Linked DNA regions of Drosophila melanogaster. The protein of the gene in region 2 purifies or fractionates together with the protein of the main gene of each other region. This does not show direct contact. Each region holds a gene or a part of one and is shown on either strand. Other genes may lie near its edges.

Region 1 (3,755 bases), 2.5 Mb from region 2:
ATCCAAAGCCGCAGAAAAACAAAAAGCAAAGTTAAAACCGCGACTGTTTGAATCTATTTGCCTTTTATCAAATGCCGGTAAGACAAAGAGAGAGAGAGATAGAAGGGGAAAGAGGATGGAGAAGCCAGAACGATCGGAGGCTGTGTGAATGAGTGAGCGAGATGGATGCGAGCAGGTAAAAAACCCGTCGTATATTTTGGGAGGATGGGGGCCGAGGGCGGTGGGCGGGGCAGTTGGTCTGCAACGCCTAACTGGTTCTTGGCAACCAACTTGTTTTTTCTGTAGATTGCCGCCGTCTGTGCTTTATTATGTTTTTTCCCTCCGACTTTATGCCTGTGCAATTTTTAATATGGCAACTTGATTTAAACGAAAAACTTACCCAATAAAATCGTAGACGTGGATTTATGCTTGTTTTTCGATCAATTCAATTGCCTGCGGTTATTTTATCCTTGCCTTCGTGGGGGTTTTGTTTTATATTTTTTGTTTGAAACTATTTTTACACGGGGATGAAAACAACTTTTCAGCATGGCAACAATACAAAAATGTTGCAGCACATTCAAAGCAACAACAAGAACAACAGGGAGGTAACATATGATAACCGAGGTCAGGCGGAAAGTGTGAGCGGGACAGGAGATTATCTTTTTGTTTTCTATTTTGTATGTTTCCTCAGCGAAGGAATTACAATAAATAATTATTTCCCAAAGACTTTATTTCACTTGGAGCACAGCATAAAAAATCCCTGAGCCGCTCACTTTTTCACTTCCTTTTGTTGGGGTTTTCGTCTTTTTTTTCGAACTTATTTTTTGCCACGAACTCGAGGTTTGGTTTGTTGTTGTTGCTAAGAATTTCAATACAATTATGGCCCAAATAGCATTTTCACTTTTCCACACAAGCACGCAGCCACCGCACGCACACACACTCACACAAGTACACAGTTGTTTGGCTCCGTTTTAAATGAAAATATAATCAAACATTTACATTGCCGTGTGTTTTTGCTCCACGAAAATGTATGATTATGTATGATTAGTTTTCCTTGCTCGCTGCACGCGCGAAAATCCGACGAAACAAAGAAACAAGAAACGACGCGAAGAGAACGTAACAACCTAAATAAACCCGATACAAAAATCGCGTCCGAATCGGCTCGTCGTTTCAACCAAAATCACCAGTAAAACTTTGCAGAGGCTTCGGGATGATGTGGCCAGACTCGCTAACTGTGCTAACAGCTGTAAGAAGAATGCCCCTAGTTTCGGAATAAATGTCTATCGTGTCTCCGATAATAAATGTACGCAAATGTTGGTTTTCTTGAAATTATTACATACATTGAAAAGTCTAATTGCTTATATTGTATTCTCTTTAAAATAAAAAGTAATGAACGAATGCGTGAGATATGATATAAATAGAGATCTCCAGTAACTTAAAACTCGATAGGTAAACAGCGTTCAAATACTGTTTACAATAATTGCTGAATATCTTTTTATATTTTATATGATCGATCTGTGAATCCTCCGTTTTGTTATTTTATAATGTCTTGCTTTATGCAAGACCAACACATGCATTTAACAAATTTAAATTGCAACTATAAATTTGCGCGCGCGACATGCAGCCCTGAAATGTCAATAATCTAGGAAATAAACTTTTGCAAAATCATAATCAATTCAAAAATCTTGCACACACGTCTCTAAATCTTTCGTACATTAATGCTCTGTGTGCAAATTAAATATCTTATATGCTTGTTTGGTTATTTCCTTATTTCCATGTACAATTAGCAGCCGATAGCAACTCTTTCTCATGCAGCCCTGGGCATGTACGAAAACGTAACGTAACGTGACCAGCAAACGGCGTGACGGCAAACGGGCAGCGCAAAGCGGACGAGCGAAAGGCGAACGAGTAGAGAAAAATTATTGAGCGCAGAGAAAAGTCCACCAAATCGAACGTCGCAGCAAGTGAAAAGGGCGAAAACCGGATAAAAAAAATATATAAATTACTGTGATTGCAATATATAAATAAGTGCGATCCAATATGAATGAGGAATACGATGCGATTGTGCTAGGAACGGGCCTCAAGGAGTGCATCCTCAGCGGGATGCTGTCCGTGTCCGGCAAGAAGGTTTTGCATATTGATCGAAACAAGTACTACGGCGGCGAGTCCGCCTCGATAACGCCGCTGGAGGAGCTCTTCCAGCGCTACGGACTGGAGCCGCCCGGCGAACGATTTGGGCGTGGCCGCGACTGGAACGTGGACCTGATCCCCAAGTTCCTGATGGCCAATGGCCAGCTGGTCAAGCTGCTGATCCACACGGGCGTCACCCGCTATCTGGAGTTCAAGTCCATCGAGGGCAGCTACGTTTACAAGGGCGGCAAGATAGCCAAGGTGCCGGTGGACCAAAAGGAGGCCCTGGCATCCGATCTCATGGGTTCGTTAATAATGCTCTTTTAAGTCCCGTTGCCTTTTTGCTTGGCGGTGAGCCCCCCACGAAAAATTGTGCAAATTACCAGCTGTGCTTGTGTGTGTGCGTGGTTGTATGTATGTATTTTCGTACTCGACTGTTATCTGCTTCCCCTCTCTCGCCCGCACCACTCTCTTTCTCTTCTCTTCTTTGTCTGCCTTTTCACTCGCTGGCAAAGCTCTTGTTGTTGTTATTCCCTTTTTTTTAATGTGACACGTATGTGTGTGCCGAAAAACAGTTGTTTTCTTCGCTCGCCAAAGAATTTCTACCAAAGTTTCCCCCACACATATCCATTTCCACACCATGTTTGTTGGCCCAACTATTATCGCCCTATTCCGATTGGAGTCGAAATTTTAATCGCTCTGCGCTGATTCATACACCTGCCGCTAATTGGTCGCCTCCATTTTACACCTGAATTTCGCTTTGTTTGAAATTTAAGTTTTTCCCTCTTCTTCGTGGCAGCAATGCAATTAGCTAAAACACGCTCTATTTATTTATGATTGGCTCTTGAATTTTTCCATTTCAATTTTTACTTAGTTTTTGCAACCAGGTTTTTGGCCAGGCGCATTGAACCCCCTTCACTTTACAGTGGAGATTGCCTATAAACGAAAACATTTCATGACTTTAGATGTACTACATTTTTTAATTTTTGTCTTTAATTATCAATAATTTGCATATAAAATAGAAATTTTCAATGAAAATGTGACTATTAGGTAGATTTTACTTCCGTTTGTAACAATACCTATTGGATGTCTCAATTTGCTAATTGAAAGTTAAACACCTTGTCCATGCTTCACTGTGTCCGCATTACACATATGCTCGGAATGACGTCATGGGGTGGCCAAGTGGTTTCTGATTGTTGGTGGTGTGTCCTCCGCCCCCTAAATTGAAGGTTTCCCACTGTAGTTGCGTGCTGTTGTCCCAGTGAGTGTCTGTATGTGAGTGTTTGTGGCATGCAAATGAAATGGAAACGGGAAACTTGAAACCCTCGGGCTCGTGCACTCCCTTTATATGCAGATCCTGAACCCCAAACTGACCAATATGGCATTATGGATATACATATATAAATGTGACTTTACTTGCAGGTATGTTCGAGAAGCGTCGCTTCCGGAACTTCCTCATCTACGTGCAGGATTTCCGAGAAGATGACCCCAAGACCTGGAAGGACTTTGACCCCACCAAGGCCAACATGCAGGGTCTGTACGACAAGTTCGGACTGGACAAGAACACGCAGGACTTCACCGGCCACGCCCTGGCCCTTTTCCGCGACGATGAGTATCTGAACGAGCCGGCCGTGAACACCATCCGG
Region 2 (3,755 bases):
TTTGAGCGATACTTTCATTCTTGTCTGACTGTGAGTGAGAGTAGTAGTAGTGCTGCCTGCTGCCCCAGACAAGTTAGGAGGAGTATATCTGAAATTTAGTGCACGTTCAGTTTCATTGGTTTACATAGAGCAGTAAGGTAACGATTTCAATTGGATTGTGTTCATAAAAAAAAAACGCAAACATAAACAAATCATATTTTATACAAAATGCCTAGATATGTTTTGGTTTTTTTTTTTTATTGTTTTGTAATTTTGTAATTGGTTTTTTTTCGCAGCTTCTGGCACATTCAAAACTTACCAAATGGTCTCCAGCTTTTTGTGTTTAGAATGACCAAAACAATCTCTAGCAACAATATTGAGCTTATTCGATTCTCTGCAAAGACATTTCACCCTTAAGAATTATTCTAGCATTTTTGTTTGGTTTTTTTTTTTTTTTTTTTTTTTGTATTTTTTAATGGTGATTGTGTGTGGGTAGTTGTCGGTAGTTCTTAGTGAGACAGCAGATAGGAAGAAATAGGAGCGTTGAACTCATGAGTTGTTGGTTTGGGGCGAAAGAATTCAATTCAATTAATTTCCAACTTTAGCTGGATGTCATAGACTACTACATTGACTAAAACCTTGGCGAGCTGTCGGACAATAATGCTGATTTTGGTTTTGGGTTAATTAATGATAATTTTATTAGATTTATTCCACAACACACCGAAAATTGCATTTGTAAATGCTACGGAAAAATGTGGTTTGCTAACCTACAAATTATTTTATAATATATTGAGATTTTTCAAGTATGATTTCATATGGCTGAGTTTTAACCTATTAATAAATATTATTACAGATGGTTTGCCCAGATAAGATAAGAGGAATACCAATTGCTACAAAATCCGTTTCAGTCAATAATACAGATTAAAGTCCAAGTTTAGTAAGAGATATAAAATATCACTAAAATACGTTGTTTTTTATAGTTTACAGAATCATGACTGTCTTGTTAGTAATTCAATCCTTTAAGTTTCCCTGATACTTGTTAAACGTTTTCAGTTGCTATTGCAGCCCTGCCAAATATTTTGCACCCCACTGTACACCCACTGCAGTACACGACTGTATCAAATGCCGCGTAGGAAAATAAACAACACAAACCCACACACAGACAGATTTTCCGTTGGCGAAACACTTTTCTGTATGAACGCAGTCTAGTGTGAAAAAAAAATATTACGAAAATCAGCACGCAGATTGGCGTTCCGGCTGCCGATTTTTTATTAAACAGCAAAATTAGGCTAAAAATCGATTTAAGACCACTTAGTATGCATCGACTGCACATGTGTGTGTGTGTGTGTGTGTGCCCGAGACGAAGACGACTTACATACAAACACAAAATGCACGTACGCCTGTGGGTGTCTATGTGGGAAAAGAAGTATACAAACATACATATGAAGTAACTGTTTTTCTATTTTTTTTCATTTTGTTTTTGCACAGCAAAATAATTGCCTTGGGTGGGCACAAAAGCCAGTGGGACTTAATTTAAACGATAGTTGGCTGTTATCCGGCCTTTGGGAACTTACGTTTTTCATGTACGGCGCCTCGAGCATCGCCTCCACATCAAAGTCCTCGGCCATATTCGAAAATTACTTCGCTGCAATTCGGGGTGCTCCGTGAAAAAAGTCCCCTGCTCGGTGTCTGGCACGTTTGGAGAAATCAAAATGTGGTGGGGACGCACAGCGGAATTCGTAGGACGACTTACGAACTTCTCTTTTGGCTTTTGCGATTTTTTAATTAGAATTTTTGCCAATTTTCAACCAGATTTTCTTCTCTAGCGTGGCTGCTTGTTTTCGGCTTCAGGGTTGTCACAGAACTTATCGATGATGAACAATCGATAACTAGTGACCGTACTTCAAAAAGTTTTTAAGTGCTTTGCAAAACGTCGATCTATCGATACCGAGAAAAACATCGTTAAGTATTGCTATGGGAATTGATGTCACATCTCTAATCAAATACCATCACGTCGAAATACAGTAAAATTCTGTTGGTAAACATAAGCAAAATTAAGGCTGGCAATTAATGCGGCAGCATGCAACCAGTTGATTACAAATTTGCAAGCATAGTCAACCTGGCCGAAAGCCTGCTGAATAGATTTGGGGCCGATTCGCATAGATAAGCGAGTAACAAGCATCTACAGCTGCTGTTGAGTCATCATCTTTTAGCCAAATAAGCCAAAAAACAAGGCGAACAGCCGTTGGCCAGCTAGTGATAGAGCCCCAGGTGAGCCACAGGTGAGAGGCGTTGTCTTCGCTGGGGATGGCGTAAGCTGATCCAACGAACCACCACCAGCCAGCAAAGTATAATCGTTACGCGTCGCTGACTAGGTGTGTCTAAGCTCCGACTAACTTTCGTCTACTTTCGCAGAGCACACACACACTTGCCCACACCCAGCGACTCAAAAACCCCAAAACCAACCCATTTTTGGCAACATCCCCAATGGAGGACTACAAGTTCCTGTTCAAAATCGTCCTGGTGGGCAATGCTGGTGTTGGAAAAACATGCCTAGTGCGCCGCTTTACTCAGGGTCTATTTCCACCTGGCCAGGGTGCCACCATTGGTGTGGATTTCATGATTAAGACCGTGGAGGTGGAGGGCGAGAAGATCAAGCTACAAATCTGGGACACCGCCGGCCAGGAGCGGTTCCGATCCATCACGCAAAGCTACTATCGATCGGCTCACGCCTTGATCCTGGTGTACGACATCAGCTGCCAGCCCACATTTGACTGCCTGCCGGACTGGCTGCGCGAGATCCAGGAGTATGCCAACTCCAAGGTACTCAAAATCCTGGTGGGTAACAAGACGGACAGGGATGATCGAGAGATACCCACCCAGATTGGCGAAGAGTTCGCCAAGCAGCATGACATGTACTTCTTGGAGACATCCGCCAAGGAGGCAGAGAATGTAGAGCGTCTGTTCTACGAGATTGCCGCCGAATTGATTGGTCAGGCAAGGAGCAAGGATGGCAGTAGTTCGGCCGCAGCGGCAGCCGCCCAGCGTCAGTCGGAGGGCAGCTCCATCGGACTGGGGAGCTTCAGTGCCAAGGCAGCGCAGAGCAATTGCTGTGGCGGACTCGCCAGCGGCGGCTCCAACTCTAGTCAAGGCGGCTGAGCAGCTGCAAACTGAACTGGAAGCTGAGCAGCTAATCTGTAACTTGTTAAGGACTAATCGTGATATTCCATTTATCTTTTATTACCACAATGCTCCCACATTCTAACACATACATACATATGTTAAATTTTGTTTTTATAAGCATGATTATGACGTGATCGTTTGCCTTTGTCTTTGTAACGATTCCTATTAGATTGTTAAAACACATCGGCTTCAAATACCTTTAAATGTAAAGGTATTTAGAGCAATTCTCTTCGCTTTCACTAAACTACGATAACAACAAACATTTAAAGTACAATGTGCAAACGGATCTGGAAACTGTGCAGCTAATCTGTTATCTGTTATCGTGATATTCTGTTCATGCTTAAGGGTTTATTATTTTAATTACAAGACTAAAAAAATTGATTATTTCTGTATCCCCTTTGGTTTACAGAAAGAAATTGATTGTAAAAACTAATTTACTATTTATCACGATTAAGATCCTATGGGAAACTAGCTGTCAATGACTAAGGATGCTAAATATTTGTGTTACAAGAACTCCATTGGAGGTGTTTAAGACCGCCTGATTTTCTTGATTTGTATTATATAGACGTATGTATTGATCTGATTATGGATCG

The links. The genes of interacting proteins can lie anywhere in the genome.
Region 1: the proteins of Rab30 (region 2) and Gdi purify together in Drosophila melanogaster (affinity purification with mass spectrometry, with the first as the bait; one large-scale study listed by BioGRID). This does not show direct contact.

The regions. Positions count from the first base shown.
Region 1 is NT_033779.5:9,492,880-9,496,634, reverse strand, and holds the start of Gdi (GDP dissociation inhibitor), read left to right. Parts: upstream 1-1,758; 5' UTR 1,759-2,019; coding exon 2,020-2,413; intron 2,414-3,531; coding exon 3,532-3,755.
Region 2 is NT_033779.5:7,030,817-7,034,571, reverse strand, and holds the start of Rab30 (Rab30), read left to right. Parts: upstream 1-1,965; 5' UTR 1,966-2,335; intron 2,336-2,394; 5' UTR 2,395-2,466; coding exon 2,467-3,138; 3' UTR 3,139-3,755. Other genes in the region: caper, read right to left, coding at 1,554-1,607.